4 linked regions of the Arabidopsis thaliana genome follow. The protein of the gene in region 1 interacts with the protein of each later gene in a pairwise test. Each region holds a gene or a part of one and is shown in the gene's direction. Other genes may lie near its edges.

What was found.
Region 2: the proteins of AT3G59740 (region 1) and AT4G37445 interact in a protein complementation assay, tested with the Arabidopsis thaliana proteins (one large-scale study listed by BioGRID).
Region 3: the proteins of AT3G59740 (region 1) and AT4G01410 interact in a protein complementation assay, tested with the Arabidopsis thaliana proteins (one large-scale study listed by BioGRID).
Region 4: the proteins of AT3G59740 (region 1) and HHP4 interact in a protein complementation assay, tested with the Arabidopsis thaliana proteins (one large-scale study listed by BioGRID).

What each region holds. Positions count from the first base shown.
Region 1 is NC_003074.8:22,065,142-22,072,037, reverse strand, and holds AT3G59740 (Concanavalin A-like lectin protein kinase family protein), read left to right. Parts: upstream 1-2,979; coding exon 2,980-4,959; 3' UTR 4,960-5,051; downstream 5,052-6,896. Other genes in the region: AT3G59750 (Concanavalin A-like lectin protein kinase family protein), read left to right, coding at 217-654, 741-2,183; AT3G59730 (Concanavalin A-like lectin protein kinase family protein), read left to right, coding at 6,159-6,896.
Region 2 is NC_003075.7:17,602,431-17,608,154, reverse strand, and holds AT4G37445 (calcium ion-binding protein), read left to right. Parts: upstream 1-3,210; 5' UTR 3,211-3,236; coding exon 3,237-3,267; intron 3,268-3,357; exon of another isoform or gene 3,358-3,376; coding exon 3,377-3,491; intron 3,492-3,584; coding exon 3,585-3,645; intron 3,646-3,732; coding exon 3,733-4,011; 3' UTR 4,012-4,061; downstream 4,062-5,724. Other genes in the region: AGP18 (arabinogalactan protein 18), read left to right, coding at 1,214-1,963, 2,143-2,229; AT4G37440 (uncharacterized protein), read right to left, coding at 4,309-4,491, 4,565-5,043, 5,134-5,187, 5,293-5,609.
Region 3 is NC_003075.7:576,280-582,027, forward strand, and holds AT4G01410 (Late embryogenesis abundant (LEA) hydroxyproline-rich glycoprotein family), read left to right. Parts: upstream 1-1,748; 5' UTR 1,749-2,028; coding exon 2,029-2,712; 3' UTR 2,713-3,008; downstream 3,009-5,748. Other genes in the region: AT4G01400 (oligomeric golgi complex subunit-like protein), read right to left, coding at 1-964; CBL5 (calcineurin B-like protein 5), read right to left, coding at 3,759-3,795, 4,022-4,134, 4,220-4,300, 4,388-4,440, 4,569-4,677, 4,751-4,810, 4,958-5,040, 5,164-5,239.
Region 4 is NC_003075.7:17,697,450-17,704,397, forward strand, and holds HHP4 (heptahelical protein 4), read left to right. Parts: upstream 1-3,184; 5' UTR 3,185-3,436; intron 3,437-3,536; exon of another isoform or gene 3,537-3,557; 5' UTR 3,558-3,766; coding exon 3,767-4,032; intron 4,033-4,124; coding exon 4,125-4,377; intron 4,378-4,465; coding exon 4,466-5,119; 3' UTR 5,120-5,503; downstream 5,504-6,948. Other genes in the region: NAGS2 (N-acetyl-l-glutamate synthase 2), read right to left, coding at 1-84, 171-322, 419-627, 737-824, 1,022-1,387; AT4G37682 (hypothetical protein (DUF1399)), read left to right, coding at 6,012-6,070, 6,154-6,193, 6,267-6,395. UniProt on the Arabidopsis thaliana protein: May play a role in abiotic stress response.

The sequences.
Region 1 (6,896 bases):
GCTTTACGACTTGGTTTAGGCCCCATGTGTGTGTAAATACATAAATTTTTAATATGAACAACGCGGAAATCCATGTGAACGTTCGTTTCCATTTTGTTCGACCCTACTTTTGCAGTTTGGAATTCTTTTATACTCTTACTTAACTCTCAATGAGATGATAAAAATATCTCATATGATCAATTTCTTCCCATAAGCAAAAACAAAAAAAATCCTAACATGCCTAGTGAACTCAAAGTCTTGCATATAGTTCTTGTTCTGCTCTATACTCTGTCTTCATCTACTTACAACTCCAATGGAAACTGGACCCTGGAGGGCTCTGCAGCTGACAACTCCATTGGTGACACCATTTTAACGAACACCAAGAAGCATTCCTGCGGTCAAACTTTCAACAACGAATCCATTCCCATAAAAGATTCGTCTTTCAGCTTCCACTTCCTCTTTGGAATAGTACCTGAGCATACACAGTCCGGTTCACATGGCATGTCTTTCGTTATCTCTCCTACAGCAGGCCTTCCAGGAGCTTCCTCCGATCAGTACCTCGGATTATTCAATGAAACAACCAACGGTAAATCATCAAACCACGTTATAGCTATCGAGTTAGATATACAAAAAGACCAAGAGTTCGGAGATATTGATGATAATCATGTTGCAATGGTTTGACATCTGTTGTTTCTGCTTCTGCTGGTTACTATGATGATAAAGATGGAATCTTCAGAAATCTTTCTTTGATCAGCGGAAAGGTAATGCGGCTTTCTATCGTTTATAGTCATCCTGATCAACAGCTCAATGTTACTTTATTCCCGGCTGAGATCCCTGTTCCGCCACGGAAACCACTGCTGTCTTTGAATCGAGATCTCTCCCCGTATTTTTTGGAGGAGATGTATTATGGCTACACGGCATCGACTGGATCCATTGGAGCATTTCATTATATGTTGAGTTCGTACGCTACTCCAAAAGTTGAGAATCCAACATGGGAGTTCATCGTAGTCCCAACCCTTCCTCCATATCCGAAGAAATCGTCTGACAGAACAAAGAAGATTTTAGCGGTCTGCTTAACGCTTGCTGTGTTCGCTGTGTTTGTCGCCTCGGGAATCTGTTTTGTCTTCTATACGAGGCATAAGAAGGTTAAGGAGGTTCTTGAGGAATGGGAGATTCAATATGGACCTCATAGGTTTGCCTATAAGGAGCTTCTCAATGCCACAAAGGATTTCAAGGAGAAACAACTTCTTGGAAAAGGAGGCTTTGGTCAAGTCTTTAAAGGAACGCTCCCGGGTTCCAATGCAGAGATCGCTGTAAAACGGACTTCTCATGATTCAAGACAAGGCATGAGCGAGTTTCTAGCCGAGATATCGACCATTGGTCGTCTCAGGCATCCAAATCTAGTCAGGCTTCTGGGATATTGTAGGCATAAGGAGAATCTCTACTTGGTTTATGACTTTACGCCCAATGGAAGCCTTGACAAGTATCTAGACCGTAATGAGAATCAAGAACGGCTCACTTGGGAACAACGTTTCAAGATCATCAAAGATGTTGCATCTGCTCTACTACACCTGCATCAAGAATGGGTACAAATCATCATTCATAGAGATATCAAACCAGCTAATGTCCTAATCGACCACGAAATGAATGCAAGGATCGGGGATTTCGGATTGGCAAAGCTGTATGATCAGGGACTTGACCCTCAGACATCTAGAGTAGCGGGAACATTTGGTTATATCGCACCTGAGCTCCTAAGAACAGGAAGAGCGACCACAAGCACTGATGTTTATGCCTTTGGGTTGGTAATGCTTGAAGTTGTTTGTGGTAGAAGAATGATTGAGCGACGTGCACCGGAAAATGAAGAAGTTCTTGTGGATTGGATCTTAGAGCTTTGGGAAAGTGGGAAACTTTTCGATGCAGCTGAGGAAAGTATCCGTCAAGAACAAAACAGGGGAGAAATCGAGCTTCTTTTGAAGCTAGGTCTGTTGTGTGCACATCACACTGAACTGATTAGACCGAACATGAGTGCGGTTATGCAGATCTTGAATGGCGTTTCGCAGCTTCCAGATAATCTTCTTGATGTCGTAAGAGCTGAGAACTTGAGAGGAATGCCTGAAACATCAATCGAAGTACTACTTGGTCTTAATCTGTATTCAGTTGGTACAATGACATTAACAAATTCTTTCTTGTCCCATGGACGCTGAAACCGTTAAAGAAGTTAGTTTGAATGAACAGTTACATTCAAGCTTTTGTATCGTCTATTTGATGAATCACTACATTAGGGTTTCTTTATCTTGAATCAGTAAAGCCTTCCGTTTCATCCCCAAGTTCTTATATCTTAAATTTTTAGGACTCAACATATAATATGTTTTGTATTTTCTGCTTTCAAAGTTTTCTTGTTGGATTTGTTTAAGAAACCGAACTTTCAAGAGCAATGGCGTCAAAACAAAATGGCGTGAATTGCCAAATCAGTGACATATAACCAAAAACATTCTAAACTACTTTGATGTTGTTACACTACATAGGATTAATCTCAATATATAATGATCAAACCATGACAAATTAGTGACATATAACTTCACTTTTGCCTTCAGACCAGTAGAGAATTTGTTAGAATCTACACTAAATTAAAAATGTTAAACATACGTTGTTTTTTCTACAAAATGGTTGTGGAAAAATAGCTTTGTTGGATTGCTGCTTTTTAATTATGCTTTTCACACTGTTGTTATTAGTAATTTAATACTTCAAAGTATTAAGATCGTAGAAAAGTTCTGTCTTTTGACGACACGCTCTACCAGTCCCACTATAATTGCTTTACGACTTGATCTAGCTCATGTGCTTAAATACATATGTTTTTTTATTACTAACGAAGAATAACAAAAATAAAAAGAAAAAAAGAACGTTGGGTTCCCATTATTTTCGACCGTAATTCTTATGAGATGATAAATATTACATTAAGATCATAACCTTCCCATAAGCCAAAAAATAACAAACAAGAACATGTCTCATAAAGTCTTACAAATAGTTCTCGTTCTGTTGCTTACTCTGTTTTCATCTACTCACAACTCCAATGGCAACTTCCTCATGGAAGAAGCTGCAGCTGCAGGTTTAAACGGTTATTGCCTTTTAACAAACACCACGAAGCATTCCTACGGTCAAGCTTTCAACAACACTCCCGTTCCCATCAAGAACTCATCTTTCTCATTCAACATCATCTTCGGGATCGTCCCTGAACATAAGCAGCAAGGTTCACACGGTATGGCTTTCGTTTTCTCTCCTACAAGAGGCCTTCCCGGAGCTTCCCCCGATCAATACCTGGGAATCTTTAACGAGACAAACAACGGTAAAGCCTCGAATAACGTTATAGCTATCGAGTTAGATATACGAAAAGACGAAGAGTTTGGAGATATTGATGATAATCATGTTGGGATTAACATTAATGGTTTGACATCTGTTGCCTCTGCTTCTGCTGGTTACTATGATGATGAAGATGGAAACTTCAAAAAGCTTTCTTTGATCAGCACAAAGGTAATGAGGCTTTCCATCGTTTATAGTCACACCGATAAACAGCTCAATGTTACTTTATTACCTGCTGAAATCTCTGTTCCGCCACAAAAATCGCTCTTGTCTTTGAACCGAGATCTCTCGCCCTATTTTTTGGAGGAGACGTACTTGGGTTTCACGGCATCGACCGGGTCGATCGGAGCACTCTATTATGTGATGCAATTTTCCTATGAAGAAGGAGTTATATATCCAGCATGGGACCTTGGCGTAATCCCAACCCTTCCTCCATATCCAAAGAAGTCGTATGATAGAACACGGAGGATTTTAGCGGTCTGCTTAACGTTGGCCGTGTTCACTGCATTAGTCGCTTCCGGAATAGGTTTTGTCTTTTATGTGAGGCATAAGAAGGTTAAGGAGGTTCTTGAAGAATGGGAGATTCAGAATGGACCTCATAGGTTTTCTTATAAGGAGCTTTTCAATGCCACAAAGGGTTTCAAAGAGAAACAACTTCTTGGGAAAGGAGGCTTTGGTCAAGTCTACAAAGGAATGCTTCCGGGTTCCGATGCAGAGATCGCTGTAAAACGGACTTCTCATGATTCAAGACAAGGGATGAGCGAATTTCTAGCCGAGATATCGACCATTGGTCGTCTCAGACATCCAAATCTAGTCAGGCTTTTGGGATATTGTAAGCATAAAGAGAATCTCTACTTAGTTTATGACTTTATGCCTAATGGAAGCCTTGACAGGTGTCTAACCCGTAGCAACACGAATGAAAATCAAGAACGGCTTACTTGGGAACAACGTTTCAAGATCATCAAAGACGTTGCAACTGCTCTACTACACCTGCATCAAGAATGGGTACAAGTCATCGTTCATCGAGATATAAAACCGGCTAATGTTCTACTCGACCACGGCATGAATGCGAGGCTCGGGGATTTCGGATTGGCGAAGCTGTATGATCAGGGATTTGATCCTCAGACATCTAGAGTAGCGGGAACATTAGGTTATATTGCACCTGAGCTCTTAAGAACAGGAAGAGCAACCACAAGCACAGATGTTTACGCCTTTGGGTTGGTTATGCTTGAAGTCGTTTGTGGTAGAAGATTGATTGAGAGACGTGCAGCAGAAAATGAAGCGGTTCTTGTTGATTGGATTTTAGAGCTTTGGGAAAGTGGGAAACTTTTCGATGCAGCTGAGGAAAGTATTCGTCAAGAACAAAACAGAGGAGAAATTGAGCTTGTTTTGAAGCTAGGTCTGTTGTGTGCACATCACACTGAATTGATTAGACCGAACATGAGTGCGGTTTTGCAGATCTTGAATGGCGTTTCGCATCTTCCCAATAATCTTCTTGATGTTGTTAGGGCTGAGAGATTGAGAGGAATTCCTGAGACATCAATGGAAGTACTACTTGGTCTTGATCTGAATTCTTTTGGTACAATGACGTTGACGAATTCTTTTGTGTCCCATGGACGCTGAAACCATAAAAATAAGTTAGTTTTGATCAAACATTTATATTCCATCGGGAGCTTCTGTATCCGTCTATTTGATAAATGAGTACATGTTTCTGTATCTTTGAATCATGAATGCCTTCCAATTCATCCCTAAATTTCTAGGGTTTACTTTTAGGGTTATAATATGTTTGTTTCATTCTTGCTTTCAAAGTAATCTTGTTCGAATTTGTTTATAAAACCAAATTTTCAAGAGCAATGACTTATAACTTAATTAACTTTTTTTTTTCTGTAGACCAATACAAAATCTGTTAAACTTTACATTAAAACATGTCAAAAAACTTATTTTTTTTACATTTTATGGTCAACACGTTGGTTGTTAAACTTACATTGTTTATCCATTTCTACGCTCCGTAATGTTCGACGGATTAGGTTGTAGAAAAGATAAGAGAAGCTTTTTTGACCTTTTTATTTCTTTGGTAGAGATCTGAGAAGAAAAGTTTTTTTGATTATTGCTTATTATGCTTTCCACTATAATCGCTATTTAATCTTAGCAAGAATTAGAAGATTTGTTTTCTTATAATTGATTTACGACTTTATCTTGGCCATGCACAGTGCGTAATTACTAAATAGTGTACATGTGTTTTTTCTCTCTTAAGTTTGCTTACTTATCTTAGTTCGTTGGCCGCATATAACATGAATATTCATTAGATAAATAATTAACAGCAATAGGTAAACAGCAACAATAACAATAGTTTAAGTCCTAAGACTAATCAACACATTAATGGAACGATAAGAAGAGATTCAAGAGAATAATTAACAATAATGTTTTGTAAAAAGAAGAAAAAAAATACAAAAAGCAAATAGGATGTCATAATCTCATAACCAATATAGCAAAATTTCAGTAGTAAAATAGGTTTGCAAACCTAACATGGGTCCGCTTCTACACTCTGACAATCCCACAATAATTGCTATTATTAATTGAAAAATGATCAGAAGATTATTTGTTTATTGTGTTGCGGTTTGATCATCTAGGCCATGTGGGTAATTAAATACAAACTACATATGTTTATGACATGACCAGTTTCGTTCACATTATATTGGCTTGATCATATTCATACAGTTTTACTTATTTTTATGTTGTATCTTCTTACATAATTCTTCTGATAAATATCACATTACGATCAAAACCTTCCCATAAGCCAAAAAAAAAAAACGAACAAGAACATGTTTAGTGAAGTCAAAGTCTTACAAATAGTTCTTGTTCAGTGGCTTACTCTGTTTTCATTTACTTACAACTCCCATGGCACATATATCCTGGATGGATCTGCAGTTTTCAACGAAAATAGTTACTTGGTTTTAACGAACACCACGAAGCATTCCTACGGTCAAGCTTTTGACAACACAACATTTGAAATGAAGGACCAGTCTTTCTCCATCAACTTCTTCTTCGCTATTGTCCCTGAGCATAAGCAGCAAGGCTCTCACGGTATGACTTTCGCTTTTTCTCCTACAAGAGGCCTTCCCGGAGCTTCCTCCGATCAGTACCTCGGATTATTCAACAAAACAAACAACGGTAAAACTTCGAATCACGTGATAGCTATAGAGTTAGATATACATAAAGACGAAGAGTTTGAAGATATTGATGATAACCATGTTGGGATTAACATTAATGGCTTGAGATCTGTTGCCTCTGCTTCTGCTGGTTACTATGATGATAATGATGGAAGTTTCAAAAATCTTTCTTTGATCAGCGGAAAGTTAATGCGGCTTTCGATCGTTTATAGTCATCCGGATACAAAGCTCGATGTTACCTTATGCCCTGCTGAGTTTCTTGTTCCGCCACGCAAACCACTTTTGTCATTAAACCGAGATCTCTCGCAGTATGTTTTGAAACACATGCATATTGGCTTCACAGCATCTACGGGATCCATTAGAGCGCTCCATTATATGGTGCTGGTGTAC
Region 2 (5,724 bases), on another chromosome or scaffold:
CGAGTTTCATTTATTATCGTTATAACACTCACTGTCTCATTCGTCAAAGTCTTTAACAAAGTCAACGAACGACCATTAGCTTGGGCTTTCTCTCCACCGACGCGCCGCTCTCAGAATTTCCACTTACTCATTGTCTTTATATTCAAAAACTCAAAAAAAAAAAAGTATTAAGAATGGCTTAAGACCGAAACGTGTTTTCTCCTAGTCTGGCAAAACACAAAATAATAAATATAAGGAAACGCTTATGAATACTTTTCAATATTCTACATAAAGTCATTGAAAGAAGGATTGGAACAAAGTGAGAAGCAACAAAAAGAAATCAAAATCGTAGCTCCTAAGCAATACGTTTCTTCATTGGCAACGGTTTTGATTCCATTTCGACTCGAATGAAAAAAGGCCAAAGAGTATTCAGGCAATTACGGTGACGGTGGCAACAAATTATAGATTAAAACGAGCCAAAATAGAAGAAAGTGCCAACAAATCCGTGTGGGCACCAATCCAAAGTGGCAAAATCAATCAACCAGCTGTCCTCTCCCTCTAACTTCCGATCAAAGACTCTCTTTTTTTTTGTTTACGTTTTCTTTTCCTCATTCTCCTTGTCTTATTTTGATTGCATTATATTGAACTTGAGTTTAATCATTTTTCATTATTAAGGTTATTTATTTATAGACGCATGATGCATCAAGTCATAATAATTTCACCCGTGATGATCACATAATAATACTAATCCAAGACTCCATGTGTCGTACCCCAAAAATTTATCTCAATTATACTATGTACCTTATATTGTGCTATTTTTTTAACTAATAATTTCCCGACAATTTAGTAGTTGGAAATTTCTCGACCGTGTGATATAATCTATAATATAAAATATCATAATTATTAAACAATGATAAAATTTGTGAGCGACATTGGTATCAATTTCAAATCCAATTATTATGTTGACACAAGACTAGTGATTTATAGTATAACCAATTTAATGTCTAACGTAAAAACAATTACTATTAATTGATTTTCTATATCTGATCATATGTTCAACAAAACACATGCTAATCTACCCACCATTGGCGAATAAATTTATTGCAGAATATAACAGGAGAAAAATGCCAAGAAAAAAAAATCCTTATAAAAACGCACAAGAAAAAAGTAAAAGAGCTATTCTGTAAAATAAAAATGAAAAAAGTATTGAATCCTACATTAATAGATACAGGATATGATGTTCTGTTTCTCAACGGCTACATCTGTCTGTGATCCTTTTTTAATCCAACGATCCAGATCTCTCCTCATCGCCTATATAAAACTCACTTCTCTTACATCAAACAAACAACACGCTTGGTTAAACTCCATCAGTACTTTAACCATCACTTCAAAGTTCAAACTCTTTTTTTTTTTTTTGTTTGATCCAAATTTTAACAAAATTATGGATCGCAATTTCCTCCTAACAGTTACATTGATCTGCATTGTCGTCGCCGGTGTCGGTGGCCAATCTCCTATCTCTTCTCCGACCAAATCTCCCACCACTCCTTCTGCTCCAACTACTTCCCCTACTAAATCCCCCGCCGTTACTTCTCCCACTACGGCTCCGGCGAAAACTCCAACTGCTTCGGCTTCTTCACCGGTTGAGTCACCAAAATCTCCGGCTCCTGTTAGCGAGTCGTCTCCACCACCGACACCTGTTCCAGAGAGCTCTCCTCCGGTTCCTGCACCAATGGTTTCTTCTCCAGTGAGCTCTCCACCGGTTCCAGCACCAGTAGCTGATTCTCCTCCAGCTCCGGTAGCCGCTCCGGTTGCTGATGTACCGGCTCCTGCTCCAAGCAAGCATAAGAAGACTACAAAGAAATCGAAAAAGCATCAAGCTGCACCTGCTCCGGCTCCGGAACTTCTCGGTCCACCTGCACCACCGACTGAATCTCCCGGACCTAACTCCGACGCTTTTTCTCCCGGTCCTTCCGCCGACGATCAGGTACATTAGCTTATATCAACAATGTTGATATTTATCTACCGTCACAAGTTCGAGTATCAATGTTAAAAATAACCAATGAGACATTTCAAAACAGTGAACATAGATTTTCAATTTTTGTTATATTGATTTAGTAATTACATATTCGATTAACTAAAATGAAAATATGGAATTGAATGCAGAGCGGAGCAGCGAGCACAAGGGTGTTGAGGAATGTAGCGGTGGGAGCGGTTGCAACCGCATGGGCCGTTCTCGTTATGGCATTCTAAATTATTTATCATTTCACCTCTGATATTTTTTAGTTTTTATATTTTTGACCCTACCATTGTCTCTTTCTTTACGAATTTGGTAATGAGTATTATTTAATTGATTATACAGTTTGTTTTCTTTTATTTTATTTATATGGAAATAATAAGAATTCATATCTGTCAGTGATGAAAATACTGTTTTACACATTGATTGTTCTTTTCTTTTGCAGACAAAAGTCCTTTAGTGATGGGTCCGAGTTCTTTATTGAAAATGACACATTCAATTTTAATGCAGAATTATGGACATTTACTCTAAAATAAAATGTTTGTGTAAGTAACGTCTATGTAACAATAAGCAAAGCAGTTACATAATTTGTTTTAGTCTTTTAAATGTTTAAAGTGTTAGTAAATCAAATGTTGATATTTACGTTTGAAACCAATTACATGTGTTTCTTTAAACAAATATTTACAATTGGAGTATAATTATGCGAGAATGAAAGTGTCAGCTACTTAGTTGGATCTTAGTCTTTTATAATGTGAAGTTGGTAAATATTTATTGAATTCATATCTGATACCCAACTCAAGTGGCCAAGTTGCTATAAATGAATTGTCTAAAATTTATTACTAAACATGTATAGATCCAACCAATCATATAATACAATGCTTTTTATTGTACCTTTCAAATAGCTAGATTCATATTTTTGTCTTGTTCCTTAGAGAACTAGATTTGAAAAAGAAAAAAATTAATGGATATCTAATATGGTAGGCAAAAAGAAAGTGAGAATAGAGGACAAGTCATATTCCCCATGCTTTTATTAAAAGTACATTACTCAACTGTGAAGAAATGGCTAAGATTTTGTAAGTAAAGCACAAGTTATACTTGAACCAAGGTCTTGTGTAGAGATTCAAGATTCTTGGCTTTGCAAAGACACAAACCCACCAAGCCAAGTCTCTGATTCCACACACCAATACAAATTTGTATATAAACATAACATTTTCTTCTTCCTAAAGACTAACTTCTAGACAATATGGGTAGTTCAATGGGCTTTCTCGGAAAAGGTTTTGCAATTTTTTAACCTAACAATTATCGACTCAAATCGTTATATAACCGTTTTGACAAATTTTCGTCCTATATATCTTTCTAAATAGATTTCGATATTTGGCCTAGGGGTACCACCGACGCAGATGATGAATATGGTAATGGGTTCACTCTACAAACAATTTACCCAAAAAGCTATCAACAACTTCGACGATTTCCACGTTGCTGTTTTAGACATCTTTAAGTAAGGATTGTTTCATTATTTGATCATTCGAAAACAATGGTTATGTTGGCCAACATTTTTTTTTTTAAAAGGAATTTTATCTATTGAGTGCAGCAACTTCAACTCGGCTTTACCAGGCAGGCACTTCGATTTCCCAACCCCGGACCAAATAAAGGTGAGTCCTCTCCTCTATCAAAATCACACAAAGAATCTTATAATAATTTCTCTATATTTTTAACACAATGTTGAATGATCTAAACAGGTTTGTTTCGCGCGGTGGAAGGAAGCGAAAGACGAAGAAGAGAAGAAAAAATTGTTCATTGAGTTCATGTCAAAGAGCGTGAAGCCAAGTAAACTCGATGATGTCACTATGATCACCGGAATAGTATCTCCACCGGCGGCAATGGCGGCTAAGAGAGCAGGAGAGAATGTTCCTCAGTTAAAATTAATCAAACTTATACCTGATGTTATATTCGTCCCTACGGTCACCATTTTAGCCATTGTCTCTGCCAAACTCTCTAGACGAATGTATTTGAAATAGTGTTTTAACTAAGCTTTCTTTCTTTTCCAAACAAAAAAAACTTAGCACCGACAAGATATAAAACATGATTGATTGATAATACAAAATAGAGAAAAATATATACACTCTAAATTATAGAAGTAAAGTTCAAAAGTTGATGTAGTTTGAATATATTGTTGACATGAAGAATCAAAACACAGCCACTATAAATATTTCTTTGTACTTTAAAGGCTTAAGAGTTAAGAATATCTTAGAATGAACAATTTTTACTTTTTAACACAAGATCCGATTAGTTACTTGAAAGTTTCCAAACCTTCTTCAGGATCTTCTTCGTAACCCGGCAGAGCCTGACCTTCGTTTTCCTCGCTTTCTCTTCCTGTTGGAAAACCTAGAAGCCATCACAGCATTAGACTTTGGCTTCTCTCTTGAAACCCGACGCCTCTTTGGGTTACTCTCTTCCTTCGTAATGATTTCACGATTGCGCGGTGTTCTTTTCCTTACCTGCGTTGTGTTAGAATGGCATATGAGACCAAAAGGGTTTAGCAAAGTTACACTGAGTTAGCGGAAAACTTACAGGTCTTGATGGACCTTCCTCAATTGAAGCTTGTTCTGTCTTCACTAGATTCTTATCGGGAATAATAGATTTCCCTTCCCTTCGCTTTGATGCTAGAATCTCAGACAGTAAAATATCTGTTGTCTCGTCGTCTTCAGGTGAGACGTGATGAGATGAAACTGAAGCAGATTTCACCGGTTTTTCTTCAGAGATGATCGATTTCTCATCTTCGTTTTTGATAGCCAGCAGGGGCTTTTGTTGTTCTGAGCTGGTGTATACATCAGCAGCTCCAAGTGGATTCACTGTGTTAGCCAGAGGGAATATACTTGGATTTTCACTCAAAACCTTGTCTACGCGGATCTTCAAGTTACGGGCTTCTGACTTTGCTGCTTCAATTTTCAAAAGTATCTGTTCCAAGTACGCATCGCCTTCTCTAAACTCGAGAGGCGGTGTCTCTTCAGAGAAAGCTGTCTCATCCTTGGCGCTCTTATTCTTCTTATCTGATGACCCAAGACAGAAAATATTTTATAAGATCAAAGTTTTCAAAAGGAGTAATATCATATCATAGTTGAGATTTTAGAACACCATACCTAGGTTGCGGGAGTTGTCATTAAGAGCAATATCGGCCAAAGATTTCCGACAATCTATACAAAGATCAGAAACAATAAGATAAGAAATTATTAGACAAGTAATGGTAGATGAACATTAATCACGACCAGAAAGACAAGAACACCAAACTAGTTCCATACCATAATAAGAGAAGAGATTATGGTTTGATGCATAGGATGTAACATCAGCGGTCTCTTCAACTCGCTTTCTCGTTTTCCTCTTCATGAGTCGGGTTTTCTGAGTATAACATGGAAGAGGAGGTAAAGCCTTTACTCCAAGTTCTTCTGATTTGACATTTTCTAACTCCAACTTCTTGGCTTGGTAATATTCTTCAACTTCTTTGTCGTACTTCTGTGCTTGGTTCTGAAGTTCTTTGTATTTGAGTTCAATCCATTTGCAACGCCACATTAAAGTAGGCTGTACAAACCTCCTCCAATGATCAGTCAGCTTCCTTTTTCTGCCATAAAAAGGAACAAACCATAATAATTACCGCATACCATTCACGATATAGAGCAATTCTTCTCCTGACTTCCTTAAAAGGAGATAAATCAAAGACGCAGCTAGCTAAGTCG
Region 3 (5,748 bases), on another chromosome or scaffold:
ACATATCATCAAGAACTTTCCTAGCATCCATCGCACGATCTTCTCTACAAAACCCGAGAATCATCGTGTTGTAATGAACAAGATCAGGATTACAACCTTTTAACTTCATCCTACATAGAAGCTTATAAGCCTCTCTAAGCTGTGTCTTCCTACACAAACTGTTCAACAATGTCGTGTAACTTAACCTATCAGGCACGAATCCTTTATTCAACATATCATCAAGTAATTCCATAGCACCATTCACTTGACCTTTCCTACAAAACCCTTGTATCAGAATCTTATAAGAATCCACATCAGGGACAACATCTCTCTCAAGCATTTTACCAAACAGTTGGTATGCAATACTCAAATCATCATTCAAACAAAAAGCTTGCATCAATAAATTGTAACTTCTCGTGTTAGGCATTACTCCATGAAGCCGTGAACTCTTGAAAAGCTCAAAAGCTTTCTGGAGATAACCTCTATGGCTTACGAGAACATCTAGAATCCGATTCAGATGTTTTGGCTGCGGCGTGAAATTGAACTCCAGCATTTTGTAAAACGTACTTAAGACTTTCTCCGGTAACTTTGCTTCTGCGTAGACTTTGATCAGATAAGTGAAAATTTCTCCGGTTAATGGATAACCACTTGATCTGTGTTTGGCGAGAACGTCGTCGATAAGATTGAAATATCTACCACGGCCGAGTTTGAGAATGAGGATTAGATGAGAAGATCGAGAATGGCGGAAATTGGGCTGTTGAGAAGCATAATCGAAAATCTCCTTGGCGAGGAGAGGATCCGATTGCGAAGCTATGAGCTTTTGAACCCGAGTCGGAGACCCGATTGGGGATTTAGGGTTCGAGACAATCGGTTTTCGAGCTTCATGTTCAGATGAAGAATAGAACAGAAAACGCGAGGATGTCGATAACGGAGAAGTTAAGTGGCGAAAAACGGCGGCGAAGTCGTAGATCGGCCGGCGAATCATTTGTCGGAGTTTTTTTTTAATAAATCGGCCGTTGGAAGTGAGACTTGTATCAGTCAGCAAATTATCAAATATCTCTCTGTACACAATAGTTTTAGTGTAGGCCCAATTTTATAATGGGCTTATAATTGAGGCCCAGGTAGCATCCACAGCATTGTCGGTGACTACAGTGTCGGTGGTGCGGTATCTCAGTTAGTGTGATTAAATAACAGATTCTTCTTAAATGTGATTATTATTTATTTTGGAAGCTTACTAATAATATATGGAATTTGGTCAGAAGTATTGTTGGAGATGTGGACATAAAAGACTTGTACTTTTATTTTCTAAACATTAGAACAAATATGACACATGTGGTATCTAATTAATTTATTATTAATTGCTTTATACAGTTGATAAAGAATTGTGAAATATGATAATTTAATTTTCTTTCTACATAACCGTATTCTGGCATGCAAACAGATATTAGGTTATTGCTAACTTTGACAGGCCGTAACCTGATAAATTTCATTCTAATTTTTTTAAAAATTAACACGGCCAAAAAGTGATAGTTATCACGTTGCACGAAACCATAGTTGTCACCAAATAAGTCAATCATTGACAACAAAGTATTTGATTATGTATAGCCATATGTATACACGTTACATTGGATTTTTCATTTTTAAAAAATTCATCACTCATCAGATCCGTCACGTGAACGGTTGCACCGAGATTTGGAGTCTTTCGAAAGTACTTCTCTATCTTATATTATTACATTAAGTATTATAACAAAATAAAATCACAATGTAAAAACAGTAGTAATTTACGGCTACTTTATAAAAAGATTAGCTTTAACACATAATTACAACTACAAGCTTTCTAAGTTAATAAACAATTAATAAAACTGTACTCTAGAAGACTGTTTACTCTTATTAACTAGAAAAGAGACAAAACCTTGCATCTACTTATCTTCTTTCTTCTCCTCCTCCTTCTTTAGAGTCTTCACTCTTCACCGAACCCTCTGATTCTCGTATAGACACACACATACCTATACATACACACTTTAACACTTATATCTGTAGAGTATAGCCATGGGAGAAGGAGAAGCAAAAGCAGAGCACGCAGCCAAAGCAGATCACAAGAACGCTCCCTCCGCTTCTTCAACGCCAGAATCTTACTCTAAAGAAGGCGGAGGAGGCGGTGGAGATGCTCGCCGCGCAATCTGCGGCGCGATCTTCACCATCCTTGTCATACTAGGTATCATAGCCTTAATCCTTTGGCTCGTCTACCGTCCACATAAACCACGTCTCACCGTCGTCGGAGCCGCCATCTACGACCTGAATTTCACAGCGCCGCCGTTAATCTCAACCTCCGTTCAGTTCAGCGTTTTAGCAAGAAACCCTAACCGGAGAGTCTCCATTCACTACGACAAGCTCTCTATGTACGTAACGTACAAAGATCAGATCATAACACCGCCGCTTCCACTACCACCGCTTCGTTTAGGACATAAATCTACGGTTGTGATAGCTCCGGTGATGGGAGGCAACGGTATACCAGTCTCGCCGGAAGTAGCTAATGGTTTAAAAAATGATGAAGCTTACGGCGTCGTTTTGATGAGAGTGGTGATTTTTGGGAGGCTACGTTGGAAAGCTGGTGCGATTAAGACTGGACGGTATGGATTTTACGCCAGATGTGATGTGTGGTTGAGATTTAATCCATCTTCTAACGGACAAGTTCCTCTTCTCGCTCCTTCAACTTGTAAAGTTGATGTCTAGTCTTAATTTTACTTCGTTATGTTTTCTTTTTTAATCTTTGTGTTTTAGAATTGTAATCTTTTTTTTTTGTGGTCATGTTAGTGATGAGTTTCGTCGAGTCTAGTGTTAAAATAAATTAAAAGGCATAAGCCAAAAATTATAAGTACAAGTATATTACTAATTTTATATTTTACTTGTGATAATTATTTTGTTTCTCTGTTGTTGGACCTGTGGATGTTAATTAATGACATTTGACAATACAAATGTGTTGTCGCTAATAGCGTATCTTGGCATATGGTGAGTTCATCGACACAACAGCTCAGAGTGTTTGATCAGACATATGGCATCTTCAGGCAAATCTCATTTTGGTTTTATCATATATATATTTTTCCCCCATTATTACGGAACTATTTCCTCACGATTATAATTAAATACTTAGAATATTACTATGCTTTTCTGTTTTCCGATTCAATGATATTGTTTTTTTGTAAATCTGAATCGGACGTTAGGAGTCTTCTGAATATAAGTTACATTTTTTGAATGAAGCATCCGTTTAAAACGAGTGACTAAAATGATCGTGACTCCACAAGTCATCGCGTCAAATGTAAAATTTTCATGTGAAACAGTGAAAGCGTCAAATCTAAATAATATTGTGGATGATTGTTGTGAATTTGATTAGTTGACCTGATTCAAAAATTTGATTGGTATATCATGTCAATTTTTTCTCTTTGGTTTTGGCAACTTATATCATGTCCAATTTCTTTTTGTGTTACCATTTTTCTCGAATTTTCACACGTTTGTTCTTTTTCTTTTTCCTCTTTTCCTTTTCCAAAACCCCATTTTGTCTTCACGAACCGATCTTTGCTTTTAAGTTTTCATATCACAGCTTTAGCTTTGTGGTTAAAAACAATTACTTTCTATCCTCGTTAAATATTAAAGATTTCTTTCGATAGTTAATATGTTTATATAATAATTAACCTTCTATATTTCTTATAACAAATTACCTATGTGATTTTCGGATAAAAATATTTTTAAACAAAAACCTCTAGCAAACACCTCATCTGATTTTACCGGAGAAAGGTTGGGAAAATCCTCGGAATGTCCCTGTACAATAAAAGTTAATTTTAGAATAATTATCTCGATTTATAAAACAAGAAAAATAAAATAAAAGAAGATAATAGTAATATATGCATAAACACACATATATAAAAGCTGTTTTTGAAAGATGTATATATATTACTTTTTTTGTAAAACGAAAGATGTATCTAAAACATGCAATTTATCAGCGAATATTAAGAAAATGGTTAGGAAAAACAAACAAACGAATTACTTCAAGAAAGGGATAGTCATGTTCTTTAGTGTCAAAGGATAGGTGGCAACAAAATTCTCCCATTCTTCCAAATCTATTATCCCATCTTTTTTCCAATCGGCCTCTTCAAATGTCTTTGCCAAATATAAGTAAACAAAAATAGTAAGTAAAATCACTATAATGTTAAATCAAGCTCATAAACTTAAGCGTTATACACACCTTAGACACGATAGAATCAATGATACTCTCGGATAGCATAAGTTCTGATTCCTCTAGAACGTCTATTATCATCTCTTTCACCTATAGATTTCTCCAAGTCGAGGAAAACCGTCAAATATAATTAATCATGACTTTTTCTTTTTTTTGAGACAAAGTTTACATACGTACCTCCTCCGGTTCAATGAATCCAGTCTCACGAGTATCGTATAATCTAAATGCAACTGTTTAATTTTAAACAAGTGATCAGATGTATTTGTGGTTATAGTTAATAACATTGATCTCTAGCTATATAGAAAATAATAATAACATGGAATAAATGAATAAACACATTAGAAGTGATGAAGCATACATATGGCCTTATCTCTTGGTGATGAGTTTGGGTGAAAAATGTTGAGTGTGTGTACAAACTCTCCAAAATCTATAGCCCCATCGTTTCTCATATCGAATAATCCAAAAATCTGCATATTTCAGAGAAACAACATCAATCGAAGTTTATTTATTTATTTCGCTTAATATAACAAATTCAATTACCCGTTCTGCAGAAAGACTGCGCTTTTTGGTATTCTTGATCAAGATAAATTGAAATTTTTCCTGGAAAAGCCAACCAAATTTGACATGACAAAAGCACAACTTTTCTATAACTAGCTAGTATAAAATTTAGATGTTATATTATTCACATTTTGTTGACCAAAAAAAAATTATTCACATTGTGGAAGAAAAATTAGTTTGGACTCTAACTTTGGTCAAAAGATTGTCGTTGCTAAGACAAGAAGTGAGTTTGATGAACAATCCATGCAAAACTTCAACCTCAGCCTCGCTAACTGCAAACCCAAAACAATTTAGATGTTATCTGATCTACAAGCTCGTGTAATAATATTCTTTCTCCATGCAATATAATATATAGGAGGAGGAAGTGGTGGATGATTGAAGTAGACGTAACTTACAAAAGGTTTGAGAAGCAAGAAGCGAAATGTCTTCTTGCCTTCTTCCTTCTAATTGCTTGCTGCAAACACATCCCATTTTACTATATCAATATATATTTCAAATTCCACATACATTTAAGTGTGTCTATATATATAGGCATCAACGTAGGTGCAAGAAATTGTGGAATATAAATCTATTTCTAACCGAACAAATTCGAAAGTGGAAGGGTTTGTACATTGCCGGCTTAGGAAGCTGGAGACAAATGGTATAATTTATATCGGAATTTGATACTAGTTCTTTTTCTATGAAACTTCATTTTCTTTCCTGAGTTCTTTAAACATATTCTTTTTCTATGGTTTATATTTTCTTGTTGATTCAAATTTTTTTCTTGTTACTTGATACTCAAAGCGGGATGTCCATGTCCATTAGCTCAGTCCAATAATATCCATTTCGATATTGGACAAATAGTGTCTATGTCCACTAAGGTCCATGTCCATTAACGTTCATGCTCATTAAAGCTCATGTCCAACTGGGCTGTCCAATGAGCATAACATAACCAAATTTTAACACAATAGTATTTGCTTCATATTTCAACCAAATTATCA
Region 4 (6,948 bases), on another chromosome or scaffold:
TCATCAAGAATTGGGCCGTCCATTATGCAAATAAGCTTATCTGCTCCTATAGCTAAAGCACAAGCTGTAGCAACCTCATAGGTACTGCAGAAGTAAAGTGGAATTAGAAAACTTTAATCTTTCTAAGGTTAATGGAAGAAGCATTTTTCTCTGGAGAAGAGCGAGCATACTTGCAATTTAAGACTTCTCCGGAGCTCGAGTGGCCCAAGTTCCTCAACAAAACTACAGAACCACCGTCAAGCCTCTCACAAATCCGATCTACATCTATCTTCTTTACCTCACCAGTCGCTCCAAAATCAACACCATCAACAACACCTCTTCTCTGCCACAACAAGACCCAAGATAATCATCGGTCATTATGAACGACATTAATAAGACTCAAGGTCGTATGAACAATAAAAAAAGTGGAAAATCTCACTTTTGCTGCAAAGAAGTTACCGGTATCAACCCTAACACCTATATCATGTAAACGACTACGATCACCATGTCTACGGATATTGCAAATAGAAGGTCCAGGAGATAATTTGGCCTCAAGCATCACTGATATTGCTCCTGCAGCTTCTTTAGCAGCCTGCAAAGATGCTGCATCCGTTACTCTGTAACGTCCCACATACGTAGCCTCGCGTCCTGCAACTCACACAGCATTAGACTCGTAGCTAACCAAACCATTTACTTGACGCTAGCAAGGTTTATAGTCTAGAATCTAACATCGTGACAAAGCTTATAATATTCTGACCTCTCTCAGCCAGAAGCTGGTCGATTTGCTCCTGAGTTCCAGGAACTAAAACAAACCTTATTCCTAGATGATGAAGAAACGCTATGTCCTGCACATATATCAAATCACTTCACCTTCTACTCAAATACGAGAACTGAAAACTCAAGCACATTGCAAAGAAAAGATCATATAACAAAGCAAAATAAGAATAGTAACAACTTTAGTTGAGGCAAGCAAACAATCGAACACCTTGCGTGCTTTTTTCTCATAAATCAAAGTATATAATACGGTGAAGAAAGACGGTACCTTCAAAATGGCATCACAAGAAGAGCCGGCGATGATCTCGCCGGAGATAATAACGACGAATGTGCAGCCACGGTGAGCCCAAAGATAAGGCCATGCTTCACGGAACCAACGCACAAACTGTTTGTCGTCAACTGGATGCTCAGCCTCCACATCGCCGGCTGCAGTCACCGCGTAGTCAAACATATTGCATTTCGCCGCCGTTATAGAACTAACCGGCTTAAACCATGAACAGTTAAACCGGAATTGAGTAGGGTTTAGCTTATTTTTTGGTTTGAATGACGAAAAATTCGACTTTGATTGGCGAAAGTGGTAAGGAACATAGTAGCTAGAAGTAGAAGAAGAACCCACTAAAGCTCCTCGCTCCATCTTCCTTAGACTTCGATGAGAGAAAGAATTCAAATAAATACTAAATTGTTATTGTAACTAAACCGGCAGGTGACGGCTGATTACGGTCGGAGAAGGCGGCAGTAGTACCGTAGTGGGACCCACGGTAAGTAGGTATTTTATTTATTGTTTATTTTTCCATATTTTCTTCAATAGTCTTTTTCTATTATTATTTATTGTTTATTTTTCCATATTTTCTTCAATAGTCTTTTTCTATTATTATTTATTGTTTATTTTTCCATATTTTCTTCTTTAGTCTTTCTCTATTACTATTTGACGGAACTCTTTGAATGTCTGGTCGTTACAAGCTTAAGTTGTGTCCCCACATGGAAGTTATTCGGTTGGGTCCATCGAAGGAAAATTGATTGAACCGGTCTGGTCATTCTCTCCCAAACTATAGAACCAATTTCGGTCTGCATCGGAGTTTCGAAGTCGCGGACTTATCAGAGTGGGCTTTTTAAGGAATGTTTTTAGAATATTTACCAGCCCAATCCCATTTTAAGTATGTCCAGATCTTAATTTGGCGAGCCTTTTTATATATGGTGAACAACTGATTCTAATGTGTATGTTTCACTTTTATTAGAGAAAAAATGTGAAAAGATTTAATGTGTATGTTTCACTTTTATTAGAGAAAAAATGTGAAAAGATTCTTAAAAGTATTTATTTATGCTAATTGGCAAAACTAAAACATCAATTTATGTACATCATTTTAGTTCTTCCTCTAAGATTTGATTGATTTGTATTAATGGCTCTGAATACTGATACTAGTTTCGTTGGCAAGTAAGATAAGTGATAACTTTGATAAAGAGTGTCAAATTACAAGTGCCACAATTTGGAGTACGTAACCAAATTGACATAAAACTTGAATAGGTGAAAAAACGAGCCAGAAAAAAAACGAATATCTTCTGCTTATCCGAATAAAACGAAAGTAATATTCTTACAAGATCCTTCCTTATGAAGTAGTGCCAGTAGATATTTTTATCATTGTGATTGCGACCTGTTTGTTGCGATTCATTTATGCCAATTCACGTTACTATTTATGTTGTGATAAAATCTTTTATTTTTCTTCTTCTTTCCAAATACTTAAGTATGCATGATTATTGATCCGTACAAGCATAAACGAAGAGCTATAAAGTCTCCAACGGTAAACGTACGTGAACCAAAATAACAATTCAATATTATGGTTCGAATTATTCTGTGTATTTTATGTAAGAAAATAACCAAAACCGACTCGAAACAAAACAAAAAAATCTTCTGAAATGTGAATCTTTATTTCGGAAAATTCTTAACGATAGATAGTTTTTGCTTTAAAATTAAATCCAAACATAAACTAGAACTGAAATTCAATTCGTTGTCAATATTTTCTATACAAAAAAAAAAAAGAAATCCGACCAAATAAACAAAACCATAAATAGACATCTCCATTTTTAGTTGAAAGATGATTAAATGCAATAAATGTGCCACAATCATAAATTTTTCCTTTTCACCTAATTGAAAATTTTAATCATTAATAAGAAGAATCCATGGAGCACAATTATTTTATTTTTTATTTTTTGCTCTCATATGGTATGTTAAATTAATTTTCCCTTAATTTAAATTCCCCATATCAAATAAGTTTTTTTTTTTTTGAGAAAGACTTGATTTCATAGGAGAAATATTTGTTAATATTTTCGACAAAACATTTTCTCTGTTTGATGTATTTCCATCCTCGTACAATAAATACTCTAGCTATTAAATTCTTAGCCCAAACGAAAATAAAGAAAAATAAAAGGGTCCTACTAATAAACAAAACAAAACTAGTGGTCCCAATTTGAAATATATAAAAATATATAAAATTCATAAAGCTTTGTGGCTTCAGAGCTTCCACTTCCATCGTCGTCTTCTATTTTTTCTTCTTTCTTCGATTTCATACCAAAACAAGAACTCTCTGTTTTCGACAAAAACGAAACCTTGAGATCTATTTTGATTGACTTTTAAGAAAGAGAGAGATCTTTCTTAGAAGATTTTGTCTCGTCGGCATTGAAGATCCAGGTAACAAAATCTCACCTTTTCTCTCCTAATTTCACGAAATCGAAGAAAAATTCTCATAATTCTCTTAATTACTTATCTCTCAATTTCTTAAATCTTACAGGGTTTGTCTTTCGAAATTCAGGTAATTTTCTCAAATCCATTTATGGATTGAAGCTTTAGGTAATGAATGAGCTGAATCTGCATATAAAAATCGATACTTTCATTATCCAGAACAAAACAAGATTTAGCATAAACGTTCAAAATTGAAACTTTGATTCCTAACTTCTTGGAATGATTCAGATTGAGCTAGATTTAGATCTGTATGATTGATATTATGGGTTTGGTTTGTTTATGAGTAGAGAGAAAATGGGTGATGAGGCAGAGATCAAGGAACATTTAAAGCCACAAGCTTCATCTGAAACAATGGACAAGAAACATAATGTGAAAGGGAAGAGGTTATGGCAGAAAGTCAAGTATCAATTGGTGGAGTTTCATTCATTGCCTGCTTATTTAAGAGACAATGAGTACATCATTGGTCATTACCGATCCGAATGGCCGATCAAACAGATTCTTCTCAGCATCTTTACCATTCATAATGAGACTTTGAATGTTTGGACGTAAGTGTTGAATCATGTTTCTTGATGTATCCTTGTTTAAAGTTCAAGAGCCTTGAGTGTGTTTGTGTGTGTGTGTTCTTTGGGATTTGCAGGCACTTGATTGGGTTTTTCCTGTTTTTGGCGCTCACTATATACACTGCAACGAAAGTACCGAGTGTCGTGGATCTTCATTCGCTTCAACACCGTTTACCCGATTTGTTGAGGAAAACAGATCTCCACAAACTTCATTCTGAGCTCATGGCTCGCCTTCCTTCTAGTCCATCTAGTTGGCATGTGATGGACCTTCTTTATAACTGTTTGCCTGAAAGATTTTCTCATGGCAACTACACTGACATGTGTGTTCTGGTAAGAAAAGACTCAATCTTTCTCTCTATTCCTGCAGATTACTGTTTCAAAATGTGGCCAAGTTCATATCTTTGTAATTGCATTGCAGCATTCTGTGAGGGAAGATCTTGCAAACTTGATAGCTCCTTTGATCTTCAGGCCAATTACTCGATGGCCGTTTTATGCATTTCTAGGTGGTGCTATGTTCTGTCTATTAGCAAGCAGCACGTGCCACCTCCTCTCATGTCACTCCGAGCGAGTCTCCTACATAATGCTTAGGCTTGATTACGCCGGCATCGCAGCTCTAATAGCGACTTCCTTCTACCCTCCGGTTTATTACTCCTTCATGTGTGATCCTTTCTTCTGCAACCTCTACTTAGGATTCATAACCATCTTAGGAATCGCCACTGTGCTTGTTTCTCTCCTCCCGGTTTTCCAAAGCCCGGAGTTTCGGGTGGTGAGGGCGTCTCTGTTCTTTGGAATGGGATTCTCTGGCTTAGCTCCGATTCTTCACAAGCTGATAATCTTTTGGGACCAACCTGAAGCCCTTCACACGACAGGTTATGAGATTTTGATGGGTTTGCTTTATGGGTTAGGAGCTCTGGTTTATGCAACTAGGATCCCAGAGAGATGGATGCCGGGTAAATTCGATATAGCAGGACATAGCCATCAGTTGTTTCATGTTCTGGTTGTTGCTGGTGCGTTCACGCACTATAGAGCTGGGCTAGTGTATCTTAAGTGGAGAGATATTGAAGGATGTTGAAGATGAAGATTGAAGATTAGATGGAATCTTTGAATCTTGTTTGTAGTAGCTTCATATAAAAGTTGGATTATGTAAAGTCTTATATGTAATCAAACGTTTAATTGTTTCCTTTATTCAACAAAGGATTTATATTGTTAATCCACATATGTATTACTGGTTAAAGAAGCTGAAGGATTCATATTTTTAGATGATTCCAGTCTTGATTGCAGCATTCAAAGTATCATAATCCAGTGTCAACCTCATATAGCCTCCTTGTGAACCTGACACAAGCCTAATTGTTCCATGGCAGAGGATACTTTGATTCTGATCTTCTTCTTGAAGGTTTCCCCTGATTGGTATACATTTCGAATGATCCATAAGTGTTGATAAACTACAAGTACACAAAATATGAAACAAAATCTATGCACATCAATAAAAATTCAGAAATCAATAAAATTTACTCTGAAAATGCAGAACATTTATAAGTGTTTGTTATTGTTTTCAATATATGAGAGGAGGAGCTCCCCTACTATTTTTATATTTTTAGCCAATGAGAGAGCTCCACTTCATACCCCACTTTTACCAATCGTGCTATTTCACAGCCACTCTCACTCATGTCGCGTTGAGCGCGTGTCTACGATTTCTAAAGGGGTTAATCCACAAAAATCATGCATTTTTGGATCCACGCACCTCATTCTCAAAAACCCATCGCGTGTCGTATTTTTTTTGGTTTTCTTCTCTAAACCAAATTAAACCGAACCGAGATCAATTTGAATTTCAAAACCAATGTAAACCCATCGCTGTGAAAACAAAAAGCTCGGCCACTGTAACAACAAAAATGGAGACGACACAACTTGGAAGAGAAATCAACTCGAAATAGCCAAGAGAATGTTCGTAAACCCCCTCAAATCCGATGCTTCCTTTGATTCCAACCTCCAAAAGCCCATCTGCTCAAACGAGGAGTATTACAAGGTACCTCTATAGAACAAGTATTCACTTCCATTCCCTTACTTGTGTTAGTTCAGCGCTTGAGAAATATTATGATCTTGTTTCAGACTTTCAGCTGTCAAGAGACAAGGCCCGTTTTACTATCAGGTAAAATCATGGTCAGCTTCTTGTCCCAAACCACATTGTTGTAATCGAATTTGTTTGTGTGTCTTTGTTGCAGGTTTCAAGAGCTCATGTAGATAATGATGACGTCTTTCTGCAAGAAGCTCTGGCTAGATACAAAGCATTTCTTATAATTTTGGTTTTCTCGATAAGAGAGGAAGTTGTTGTTTTTGTTGTCTACTCTTGAAGCTTGATCTGGTTTGAAATTCATGTTCAAAAGAAGAGAAGAGGCTGTTTCTCAAGTGGTTGACGAGAAATAGATTGTGTTTTGTCTTCTCTGTTTAGAAGAATGCCTGCTTGGTTAAAAGAGGTGATGATTGAGATTGATCTCAGTTGAGGAGCGTGGAGTTTTTGCTTGGGTTAATAAGCACCTTTGGTCTGTGTTGATTGTGTGTTTCCTAGCTTCAATTTATCCTTGGATGAAACACATAATCAACATGAGGGAAAAGAACTAGCATCATAATGATGAATATGAAGATTGGCTAAGAATGAGAAGAAGATGAAGTGGCGTTTATCAACTCTGTCTTTGTTAATTTGGAGTTGCTATTTAGCTTGGATTTTAGTTCTGAAAGATGTTCTGAAAACCTGAAAGCAAGATCTTTCCAATGATATAAAGATCGCGTTCTGGTTCCTTGTGGATTGTTTGGAAATTGTTCTTAAAGTTGGTCTCTCGCAGGTCGACATGTTTTTGGATCTGTCGTGGATTTTGGCCATAACTTTCAAACCATAAACTCAAATCC